Linked DNA regions of Macaca fascicularis. The protein of the gene in region 3 interacts with the protein of the main gene of each other region in a biochemical or structural test. Links are inferred from orthologs where the notes say so. Each region holds a gene or a part of one and is shown on either strand. Other genes may lie near its edges. The genes, in order: GNAO1, GNAQ and RGS4.

Region 1 (4,168 bases), on a different chromosome or scaffold from region 3:
CATTTACAGATCTGCAAGGGCTCCAGACAGATGCAACATGCACCTTGTTGCAAAGAGCAATTCCCGAGGCCCCGCCTCCCCATCAATTTGGGTTGCACAAGCTCAAGAGAAGCCCCAAGCTAAATTACCCTTGGCTCAGAAGGGTGCGGCGAGCCGAGGGGGCCTCTGCGAAGAAAGCCCCAGGGAGCTCTCGAACAAAAATAAGAACATGTCAAGCAGATGGGAAAATTGTCTCCGAGTCGCTACTCCCTACCATCATGGCGCCGCCTAGAACCCGCTTGTCATGCCTGTTACACATGCAAGATTTTCTGCATCTTGGTTCTGAAACCGCAAGCGTGCTTCGTCTCCCACTCCCATTCCCACCTTCCCACGAAAGGGGTTTTTATTTTCCATTGTTTCCCTACGCGATGCAATTACTTCGGCTATTCTGTCAAGTTGGAAAATAATCATTTTTGTTTACTGCACAGCAACCCCTAATTAGGAGCTATGTGTGCACGAAGGTGTCACAGCAAAGCGACGTGGAATCTTCGCTAAACGGTCTTAACGAACTCTCCGTCTCGAACTGACAGGCCAACGGAAGTTGGAGGCCCGGAGGGCGCACACCCCTTCGCTGCCGGCCACCCCCTCCCCAAGCAAAGCTGCCTGTGGGCTCACCAGGAACTGCCGAGTGGATAGCGCAAGAAGCGAGCCTGCAAGTGGAAAGGAGGGGCAAGGCTCCTTATTGAGAAAGTGTGCAAGGGAAGGAATATCCCATTTTGTTTTAATTTTCAACCATCACTCAAATCCACCCCCAGTTAATTAGGAGGGGAAACTGATAGCTAAGGCAGAAGGGGGCGGCGGCAAGTGGGGCCTGAAATCCGCATTGTGGGTAGATTACATGGAACACGGCCTATGCAGAGTGTAAAAAAATACATTGATAAAGGCCACGGAGCGAACGAAAACTGCGGGTGTCAGGACAGCAATGCTGGGAGGGTGGGGAGGAGAGGAGCTGGGAGCAGTAAGGGGCGGACATTCAGCCTCACAGGCAGCTTCCCTCCCCCTTCCACCTCTACCTTGGATAAAACTGTGCCCGTCACGTACGCTTGGAAACCCACTTCTTCCCCTAGCACACGACCCCTCCCCTAACCCTGGCCCTCTTTTTCTGGGGCCGGGGCGGGGGGGTGCGAGGGTATGTAGAAACCACAGCCTCCAATTCAGCACCAAATGCATGAACAGCAGACGCTTGATCCTCCACCCTAGTCTAGGGCTGGGTCCCCTCCATGTTAGCCAAGTTCAAAATCACTGCCCCAGGAGAAGAGCAGGGGAAGTGGGATTACGGACCTCGGGGGATACGGAGGTATGGAGGGAAGAGGAGAGACAAATAGAGACAGAATGAAACAGAGACACAGAAATGGAGGCAGGGAGACACAAAAAATATTCCACAAGCAAGAGTAATGATCATAATCATGCCAATAATGTGATGTTCTGATCAATATGGCGGACACTGTCATTCATACAACTACAGGCGCTCCCCTTCCCCCTCCCAAAAAACACCCACCCAGGAGTTGGGGTGGAGGACCCAGAACCAACGTAGGGAGTGGGGGAGGGGAGTCAAATATAGGGGTGTGTGTGTGTATGTGTGTGTGTGCACGAATTAAAAAACAGGCCTGGAGAGCAATGTGGAGTAAGCAAGGTAATAAAAACGATTTTAAAAATTACTCTTATTAAAAGTACAAATCCCAGTGCCACAGGGACTTACTTCATCTGCTTCACAATGGTGCTTTTTCCTGATTCTCCAGCCCCTGTTGGGACACAGACAGTGGGGAAAAACTGGTGAGTGTCAGCTTAAGGGAACAGGGGGAGGGGGGACTAAGGCATGCGAGGGGGTGGGCGATCCTGGGCACATGGTGGTGCCAACTTGGGGACCAGGTCTCCCGGGCGCGGGTGAGGTGGGGGAGCTGGCGGCAGGGGGTGCGGAGTGGCCGGGGTCGGGGGATGGGGGTAGCAGCGGCGGTCCTTACCCAGCAGGAGTAATTTCACGTCTTTGGCGGCGCTGATGCCATCCTCTTTGAGGTTTTTCTCAATCGCCTTGCTCCGCTCGAGGGCGGCTCTCTCCTCTGCGCTCAGAGTACATCCCATGGTGGCCCCTTCCCTGCCACAGCCCGCACGACTCGGCTGGCACGGCTCCCCGGCTCGGAGCGCCCCCCACCCCCCCAGAGAGCAGAGCCTGGGCTCAAGGGGGGAAAATCACGATATCCTCTCCTGGGCTGGAAACAAAAATGTCGGGAAACCAGAACCCCCCAAAAAGCCAGCCGCTAACAAGATTCCAGCAGCGGAGACTCGCGGCAGCTGGCGGGGGTCTGGGGTTGTCGAACCGAGTGTGGCCGGGGTCTGGGGCTCCGCAGCCGAGGGAGGAGGCGCCCGCGGGCCGAGGAGGCGCGGGCTGCAGGCACTGAGGCTTGTGCACGACCCAAAATAAATAAAATAATAGTCGAGGCTGGAGCCGCAGCCGGAGCCGACGGAGGGTGGGGTGGGGGGCAGGGTGGGTCCTGCTGCCGCGGCTGCCGGAGGAGGAGGAGGCGGCGGCGGAGGAGGAGGAGGTGGAGGAGGCGGCGGCGGCGGCGCGGGATGTGGAGGGAGTGAGTTAGGGGGTGCTGCTAGTGCATGTGCATCGCCGCTCTTCAGCCGTCGGTGCGTCCGCGGCGCCTTCGCCGACCCCCGCGCGCAGGGCAGGGCTGGGCAGGGGGCCGGGCCGGGGGGCAGGTCTCTAGCGGGAGGCGGCGTCGCTGTCTCCCAGAGCTCGCATCGCTCGGTGAGCCTACCGGAGAGAGAGGGAGAGCGCCAGGGAGCCGCGACCAGCCGGGAGCTCGAGGGAGAGGGAGAGAGAGAGAGGCAGGGAGGGAGGGGAAAAAAATGGGAGAGCGAACGAGCGCGCGCGCGCCAGGGACCGGGCGGGGAGAGGAGGCGAGTGCAGCGCGCGAGTGCGCCAGCGGCTCTGCGCACCCGGCTCCGCGGGCCGCCCGCTGACGTCAGCAGGGCCGCGCGCCGGGCCCCCGGGACGGGAAAGGCGCGGGGCGGGGGAGGCGCGCGCCGGGGTTCGCGTCAGCCGTCGGCGGCGCGCACACGCGCTCGCGGAGCGGCCTGCCCCTCCCCACAGAGCCCTCCCAGCCAGCGGCTCCCCCGGGTGGGCGCGTGCGGGGCTGGCGGGGGCGGGGCGTGGGGCCGGGCGCGCGCCGGGGCCCACCCCGCCTCCGCCCCCGCCCCCGCCCCAAGCGCCGGCGGCGCGGACCTCCTTGTCAATGGGAGCGCGGGACCGGGCTGCCGGCACGGCGGTCAGGTGGGCCCCCCAGCTCGCTGCCAGCGCGGCCTCTGTCCCTCTCCGGCCGGCTCTCCATCTTGTCGCCCGCAGCCCGCCTTGTCAGTGGCTCTGCAGCCGCTGGGGCCGCAGAGCCGAGGCCGGGTTACCTCAGGAAACGCGATGTGGTAGTGGGTCGGAATAAACCCTCCCGCCCCAGAATTCGCCTTGGGGGCATGAGGACAGATTCGGCCTTTTCGCTTCCTGTGTCCACATTTATTGAGCACTTAGTATGTGGGAGCCGAGGCTGTAAGGAGAGGAACGGAGCGGGCGGAGAAAAGCCAGGGCCTTTTCTCCGGGAGCCGCTGCCTCCAGGGCCATCGCCGACCCTGCTCCGAGATCCCAGCCGCCGCTCTCCGTGCAGGAGGGGTGCCCACCCTTGGGGAGGCCTGGGTGCCCTGAGCGGAGGGACAGGGCTTCAAGCGACTGGGAGTTTCCAGCAAACCCCTGATCCCTGAGCAGTTTATTTTAAAAGCTTTTGCAAATGTTGGACGGTTTAGCTTGGTGGAGGCCGTCTTTGCACTAAATTCTCTTGTCCTCCCCCTTCGAAACACACAAAATGAATTTTGAATAGACTCTTGGATGAGAGATTTTCTTCCTTTTTTCATCTTCTGAAACATTTTCCCCTCATTTCTTCTAAAAAAACCCAGAAACCCGGGTCAGTTACTCGGTGTACAGCTAGTCAAATACTGAGAAAACCAGTCGATATTTGCCAAAGATTGGGCATGTTCTGGGTGGTCTCAGATTTTGAAGAAACAAATTTTTTACTGCACAAAATAGTTTTACAATCAGTTCCATCAGACAGCCCCAGGGGCTCTCCTAGGGAAAGGGGCC
Region 2 (3,646 bases), on a different chromosome or scaffold from region 3:
TGACCATTTCAAGATGATTAATAAATTCAAAGCTCACATTCAAAAAGGACATGGAGGAGAAAAAGATCTCAGTCTTTGTGATTCTACAAAGAGCTTCGCCTGGAAGACGGTCATTGAGACAATGTCTGAGAAAACATCTTTGCAGTAGTGCTCAGCTATTCGTGAAACAGAAAATCAGAAAAATAAAGACTAAAAGGCAGTGTTTGTATACACACTGATAAACTAAAATATGTTACAAGCATGTCTTAGTGTGTGCTTTGGGCTTTCAGGAGCACTGAAATCATGTACCCATGAAAGGATTACAGCAGAATAGTGGACTCCATGCTGGTGTGTTATCACAGGAAAAATAAGACAGCAAAGGGAATACACAGATGAACAAAGTTCTACCACCCTGGGTATTCTAGCCACTATTTGATAATATATTTCCTTCTTTGAAGGAAAAAAGACATTAATTCCCCAAACAATAGAAAGGCTGAGAATCTAGGCAGAAAAAAAGACCTACATAAAATTATGAAGATTAATATATAAGGTTTTAGAAATATTAAAAAGCAAAAGCAATAATCTAAAATGCTTCCCTTAGCTGCTTTTGTCTGTGGTCTGCAATGCATTTTCCAGTTTCCTGGGATAGAAAGAAAAGCTGTCAGAATCCATTCCTAGGTTTTTCTCACAAATATATACCAAGGGAGGGAGGCACAACAAAGTCTGTTTTGGATTAAAGTTATGAACATTAGACTTCTAAACCAAGAACAAAATGTTTCTGGAGCTTATTTCGTTTTGTCTTACCAAAACCAAAAAATCTGGGGAAACTAGAATTCTGTAGTTCTGAATTTTCTTAATGATTAAGGAAGCTGAGAGGCAATGATATTATCATACATTAGTACAACTGGGGGAAAAAAAGGGATAATGCGACTACATGCCAACATTAAAAAATATTTTTGACAGTACTTCCTAATTATAGACGGTGACAGCTGTGGCTAACATGGATGAAGCAATTAATGAATAGTACTTTTCTCATGATCCCATACTATCATCAGGCTTGACTAGAGGGCTCAGAAAGGAACAACATATAAGTTGACTTTTATCTTATAGAATTACCTAGACTTTCAAAAGATTCACAAGTAATAAGGGAGTCCAAATGAAAAAATGATAGCTTTATTATTTTAATTTGTAACTATTTAAAAGGAGCATAAGGCATCACCATAGGAATCAAAGGAACTGGGGCAATATTTTTAGACGTTCTTAGTACCTGTACATTGAATGTCAAGTTACTGTGGGAACTTAAATTATGACACATGATAATAAAAACTATGCCATTTTATTCTAATTAACATAATATACTTTTATATAAAAATCTAGTCACTATTAGCTATGTCTGATGAAAAATGGAATAAATGATCTGTAATGTTCAGGTAACTGAAGAACCAGATTCAATTCAGTTGAACTGAATTAGTTTATGAGCTGCCAAAGGAATCTACTTTCTTTTCCATTTTGATAATTTTAAAGTGGTAAATTGCTAAGTATTAAATCATGACATATTATTTCTTCATATATATAATACATTTATCTTGTGTAAAATGTGTGTTGATAAACACTTATCCTCCTCTAGCTATAATGTAAACATCAGAAATAAGTTCACATTTGCTTCTTATATCTCTTGTGTAATTGATAAATGCAAATTTTATTTTATTGGATGGCAAATTAAAGAAGAGATATGACAACCTACATAGCAAAGGCTTACCTTTCCCCATATGGCTTATTTTGACCAAAAGCACATCTAGTTTATAAGGTCTTTTAGTGGAGAGTTGATTTTTTTTCTCCATTTTTGTGTCTTTTTAGATACTCTGGTACCCAGCATATAGTAGGGAAGCCCTCAGAATATTTTTTTGTCTTGATACAACATTAAAAAAAATCAGAAGTGTTAGAATAGATCTGCTCCCAAAATATGCAGTACGTTTAAAATACTACATCCAGGAATTATGTAACAACAAACAAGCACAGACATAAAGATGTACAGATAGAGATATCATAGCTAAAATTCTGACAGTAACTGCCTAATACCGTGGTAACTTACTGTCGTATATTGTAGCATGCTTTTAGGCACTTTGCTTTATAGTTATTGGGGGCAACTGATTGATAAAGAAGCCTCATTCTTAAACAGAAGTTATTTGGTTGACTCCAAAGCCGATATACTCGCAACTCAGGAGTGATTCTGAAATGCATCAACAGGTAACTCTCGGTTCTATATGAGACATTGGTTCATGGAAACTTTATCAATCCTATACATAAAAGAAATACTATAGAAGCTTGGATATGTATTTTAATGGAGATATTAATACTGGCAGAAATAATATTTAAAAGAACAAGTCAGGAATTCTTGTGTACCTAAAAAACGTACTGTATTAAAAGCATAATATGCTAGATCCTATTTTAGTCAGCAAATGGGGATCTCTCACTTCATTCTTTTTTTCTACCCTATTATTAGGATATTTAATATTTATTATTAACCTATCACACTGCAAACTCTGCCTCTAACAGGGTATCAATGGTGTCTTCTCTGTTCCCCCAACACACACACACACACACACACACACACACACAAGCACACAACTACAGCTCAGAAGCACGGATTTCTACATCCCTTAATTATCTTCCATAATCAACTGATTCATAGTCAGGTCTTTACCATCCTCAAAATCCACATTTACACCTATTAAGTTTCCCTGTAAATGGGAGGAGATAGCAATACTGAATTCGTTCTCCAGACAGGCATATTAAGGACACTTCTTCAACTGCTCTCTGCTTAATAGAGACAAAATTATGCAGCAGCCTAGAGAATTCTATAAGAGCAGAAAGGCCGCCTCACCAAGACATTCCATGGCTCATAATGAACTGATTTAGAGCCCAGCTGCAAAGTCATTCACATTTGCCAAGAGAGATTTTGAGTACTCTTTGGGACACACCCATCACACAAACAATGATTTAAACAAAATGAAAACAAAACAAAACAGGATGACTCACTCCAACACTCCCAGTTCTATCCTGTAGGAGGAAGACTATAAAATGATCTGATGATTAGCCTAGGATTTCCATGTTATTTTCATTTTTAGAACCTCTGCATAGTGTTAAAAAGTATCAAATAGGCTCTAATTAGATTTGAACACACAGACCTGCTCATACATCTGACAGAAGAGCTTGCCACTTTGAGTGTACCATGTGGTAACAGGATTATTTTTGGTTATTTTAAAAGTCTTAAAATCAAATTTCAAGAAAGCAAAGAAGTCAGTTCACTCCATTCCCCATACCCTACTTCCTATCGTTTACTTGTATCAGATAATAAAATGATAATCCATTGCCTGTCTAAAGAACACTTACCTCATTGTCTGACTCCACGAGAACTTGATCATATTCACTAAGCGCTACTAGAAACATGATAGAGGTGACATTTTCAAAGCAGTGTATCCATTTTCTTCTCTCTGACCTTTGGCCCCCTACATCGACCATTCTGCAAGGTTAACAATACTCATATTAATAACATGTAAAACTAAAAAGTCAACATAAATATAGTACTACTTACAAACTTGGGGAAAATATTCTCTTGAATCACAATGATCATCCAAGTCAATTCAATTAATACTTATTGAATAAT
Region 3 (4,417 bases):
CTGCTGCTTTCCTTTTTAATGCTACTTTAAAGGACATACACACTCTAAAGGGCATTTGAGGCTTAAAAGCTATTAGGAGAAGCAGGCTAGAGTCATCACTGAGCTTCCACCATTTATTGCCACCATTTATTGCCACCATTTAATAGGTAGCCTGGCACAATAGGGCTCCTGACTAACTAGAAAAAGGGGGTCTTTTAATAAGCCTTAAGCTCAACTCTCTTACTTTTTATTAAATATCCTCTTGCTTGCATCTCTTTTATTAAAAAGGCCAACAAATAATTTAAAAATAGAAATACCATTTTAAGAGAAATGAATAACTAAATGTGTCTATTTGGAGTGGGGAAAATAAAGCCTCAAAGATAGAAAGACATTTAACATAGCCCCTAATAAATTTATGTATGTAGGTTTTCCCAGAAAGTTTGAATTCCATTATGTTCTCTGACTGCCCCTTAAATAGTATTTTCTCTTCCTTGCAAGATTACTTTCCTTCCTCTGCTTCCCTGACTGATGACTGCTCAGGGGATGCAACATCCTTTTTGATGATAACAGGATATAATCCTGAATGTTAGGGTGATTCCAAGGTGATAATATAAGTATATCATGAAGTCCAAATAGAAATGAATTCATATTTCTATGTGCTGGATCCACCTGAGATCTGAGAGTTGTTGATCAATGCAGGGGCTAAGTGTGCTTAGCAAGTATTCTTATTTAAAAAAAAAAAAACATAAAAATAAAAACCAAAATGACTTCAGAAGTTATTGGAGTCAGGATATCTAGATTTGGTCCTAATTCACCCACCAACCTATGTGACCTTGAGCAGGCGATGGCTCCTGTGGAGCCTCAGGCACTGGTGGCAAAGATGTTGGACTAGACGATTTGCAATTTACTGGTGAGGAAAGGGAAGAGCAGTTCATTCTGCTGACATAGAGTTTACCTCCTTAGATTAGCTGCTTAACTCTTTGAGGACAGAGCTCTAGTATTAACTTTTATCTGTTTTGCAAAATATTTACCAGGGCATAACTTTCTCCTGACACTCTTGTATTTTTGTATAGTTCATTTCATATGTAAGTTAACTGAAGCTTGAAGTAATTTGCTCCACTCCATTCAGAAAATTAAGCGTGAAGGTCAGAGGAACTTATTTCATAGATACTCTCTGCCAGACCCTCCTGCTTCATTTTAAAGAAGCCATAGATACTTCCATACTCCTGAATGACAGAATATTTGAAAAGTAAATGTTTTAATAGTACATTAAAAATTATGTTTTCTGAGACTATTTCCAAAATAAAATTTGGGGTAATTTCTATTTGCAGCGCGATAAGAAAGCAGGTAGTACACCTTTAGATTGACTTTTTACCTTTAACTGCAAGATTAAGTAATGTAATATGCACTCATTTTGTGTTTAATTTTCAACTGACTACTATACGATCATTCTCTGAATGCATTTGTTTATACCTTTTTTGAACAAACGAAAAACAAATGAATAGCTGTATGTCTGTAAAGTCTTTTTAAAAAATCAAGAGAGTATATTAACAAAACAATATCTTTAAGGTGAGATCTACAAAACTGTTAACTGATTTGTAATGATCAATACTTCTCAACCACACTCATATAAGACACTTTAAGAACTAGAGATGGGGCAGAGAGATAAGGAAGATCTGGCTTTGGAACTCATATCTCATTGTAACATTTGCTTATAAGAACATAGAGAGTGAAAGATACTGCAGCACTACACAGAAAGCATAGTGCCTTTCTGATGATGGAGCCAAACCTCATTCTGGGGTACCTTTCCTGAAACAAGATGTAGCATACAATCAGAAAACCCAGACCCAGGCTTCTATGTACTCCAGGGATGCTTAAATAACAGCAGTAATCACAGATGGAGATATTGCAGACCACTATACATAGCCTCAAGCCTCATCTCACTTCTTAATTAAAACTAGCTTGCTTAGACCTGGCTTAAAGAACAGTTCTCAAAACTGAGGTCACATGAAACAATACATAAGGACTGAAATTTGGGGAGCACATGTCTTAAGTCACAGTATCTAGCTAGTCTTGGAGGAAAGTTAGAAAGTCGTGCTCTCCTGACCACACTGTTTCTAATTGCACAGAACTAGGTTAGTAAGTACAACATGTAAATAACTGAGAAAGTCTATCCAAAAGTTTAATACGGTTAATGACTGAAAGCAATCTTACCTCCTTAAGCAAGAAGCCGGCAGACCTGCAAGCCCTTTGCACATCTTATTTAACAGCTTGGGATTCGCAAGCAGGAAAGAAATGCGGCAGGAGGAGCTGTGGCTTCGGCTTTGAGCGTACTTTGCCTCTTCTCCGGTAAAGATATTTTCAGAATCCTCTGAGCGTCTTCCTCCTAAGCCTGTAGGGGTCTCTTTTATAGCCCAGCTACGACGGTCCAGCCAATCAGACGACAGCTCTGCAGTACCAGCTCCTCTGTCTCCCTCTGCCTCTCCAGCCCCTGAAAGAGATGAGGAGGAAAAGACTGACGCATCAGCAATGCTAAGTGAACGAGCAGAGAAAATCCTTCAGCAAAGTAGGGATATGGAAAAAAATGTACTCAATGTCTCTACCAGTGTCAGAGGTTTAGAATTTCTAGAAAAGGAAAAAAGTGTACAATGCTGCAAAATATAGTATTCATTCATATTTCTGTAAAAAACAATATCAAGGAAAGTTGCTTCCTGGAAGGAAAAGTACCAGCAGGAATTCTGAAGCTTACTTAGGAGCTGACTCCCAGTGCCCTTCCTCTTTTGGATTAGAAGCATCATATGATACATGGTCCAAGATCTGATCCTCACGATTTCCAAAAGGGAGCTGGCAGGATCATCGTCTCCACGCAGTGATTTGCAGAAGTTGCCTTGGTTGTTATGCAAACAAGAAGGTGGAGAGAAATAGCTGGATGACAGACAGTTATAAGCCCGGCTGCATAGAGAAACTACCCTAGGAAAAATAGATTTGCTATATCCGTAATCAACCTGACTGAGGAATACTTTTCTAGAAATCTTGGTAACAACAGAATTCAGCCTAGCACTGACAGTTTCTCCTTTACATGCCTGTGTCCTGTAAAAAGTCTAAACCAGCAGCTTGAGGACCAAAGGAGGGAGTAGGTGAGCAAATATACACAGCAATTCTTATATCCAATGGGTTTATGTCTTATGTAATTCTAAGTCTCCAAACTGATATTTCAAAAGATAAAGAAAGAGGGATGTAGAGAGAAAGAGACAGAGCAGGCAGAAAAATACGTAGTTTGCTTTGCGTATCACCAGCCTTAAAACGAATCATTAAGAATATTAAGCCCTATAGGTGTTTCTGAACACCTGAACAATTAGTATCTTTTACATACAATATCATAAACTGAAACGCCTGCATGGAGAGAATCATTCAGGTGTTTCACATCTTATAGCCATATATCAAATACCTACACCAGAGTTACAGAGGAAAGCTATAAGTGGAAGAAGAGAATTAATTGCTAGATCTGACCAAAACAGCTTTCATTTTGAGAGCAGATAGGTTCCTGATCATAGGCTACAGTGAGCTGTACTTTATATTTAAGAAACAGAGGCATCAAATGGTTTAGGTGGAAGAGATGAAAAATAGTTAGGTTCCAGTGAAATGCAAAATACCAAAAATATAGAAAGAATGTCACAAAGCAATGCCCATACATGGCCCGACCCAATACGTGCCCTTGAACATCCCACACTGCTCCCACTACCAACACCTTCCATGACTAGCAGAGCAAGGAGACAGCAGACAAATGTAAGGTGGTGGAGGGACCATAATCTACAGAAGATGCATTTAAATTATAGGAAAAAGCCTCTAGCCGCCCATAAAGATAGAAAGACATTTATTAGAGTAGATACTGGGCAACTCTTCCTTGAATTATAACATAGAACAAGTGAATGTTGACAGCCATTCTTGATGGTGGTGTGGAAGGAACTGCAGTGCAATGTGAAATTAGGGAGGCCCTTAGACCAAGGAAGATGGACCAGGGAGAGGAATCAGTTGGAACTGACATTAAAGAGGACAGACTAATTAAAAGGGAAAGAAGGTCACTCAAAGAAAGACCACAGCCTTCTTTGTTTACATGGACACCTAAAAGAGTGATCACTCAAACAGATTGATTTTAGGAACATAAGTGAGGACCCGAAAAGGTTTACTGATGCCTGAAATTCCACAATAAGAGCTTTATCTCTTGGACTTAGAATAAGAGAAGCCTGATTTGTCATGAGTTAAATATAAATCACTGCAATAGATGGGACTTTAAAGACAAAATGGGACTTTAAAGGCAATGTAGCCTAACGCCCTTATTTCATCAAAAAGGAAATAGAGACCCAGAAAGAGAAAGTGGCTTGCTGAGGTTACAGCTTCTCACTAACAGAGCTGGGTCCACATACAGGTGTCTCGATAC

The links.
Region 1: the proteins of RGS4 (region 3) and GNAO1 form a complex in vitro, tested with the Homo sapiens proteins (2 studies listed by BioGRID). The link is inferred for Macaca fascicularis from reciprocal best matches to the Homo sapiens genes RGS4 and GNAO1.
Region 2: the proteins of RGS4 (region 3) and GNAQ form a complex in vitro, tested with the Homo sapiens proteins (3 studies listed by BioGRID). The link is inferred for Macaca fascicularis from reciprocal best matches to the Homo sapiens genes RGS4 and GNAQ.

Annotation. Positions count from the first base shown.
Region 1 is NC_088394.1:52,257,331-52,261,498, reverse strand, and holds the start of GNAO1 (guanine nucleotide-binding protein G(o) subunit alpha), read right to left. Parts: upstream 2,866-4,168; 5' UTR 2,119-2,865; coding exon 2,001-2,118; intron 1,813-2,000; exon of another isoform or gene 1,782-1,812; coding exon 1,739-1,781; exon of another isoform or gene 1,625-1,738; intron 1-1,624. UniProt on the Homo sapiens protein: Guanine nucleotide-binding proteins (G proteins) function as transducers downstream of G protein-coupled receptors (GPCRs) in numerous signaling cascades.
Region 2 is NC_088389.1:108,438,587-108,442,232, forward strand, and holds part of GNAQ (guanine nucleotide-binding protein G(q) subunit alpha), read right to left. Parts: intron 3,503-3,646; coding exon 3,373-3,502; intron 1-3,372.
Region 3 is NC_088375.1:20,915,517-20,919,933, reverse strand, and holds the start of RGS4 (regulator of G-protein signaling 4), read right to left. Parts: upstream 2,851-4,417; 5' UTR 2,787-2,850; coding exon 2,729-2,786; intron 2,471-2,728; coding exon 2,194-2,470; intron 1-2,193. UniProt on the Homo sapiens protein: Inhibits signal transduction by increasing the GTPase activity of G protein alpha subunits thereby driving them into their inactive GDP-bound form. Activity on G(z)-alpha is inhibited by phosphorylation of the G-protein.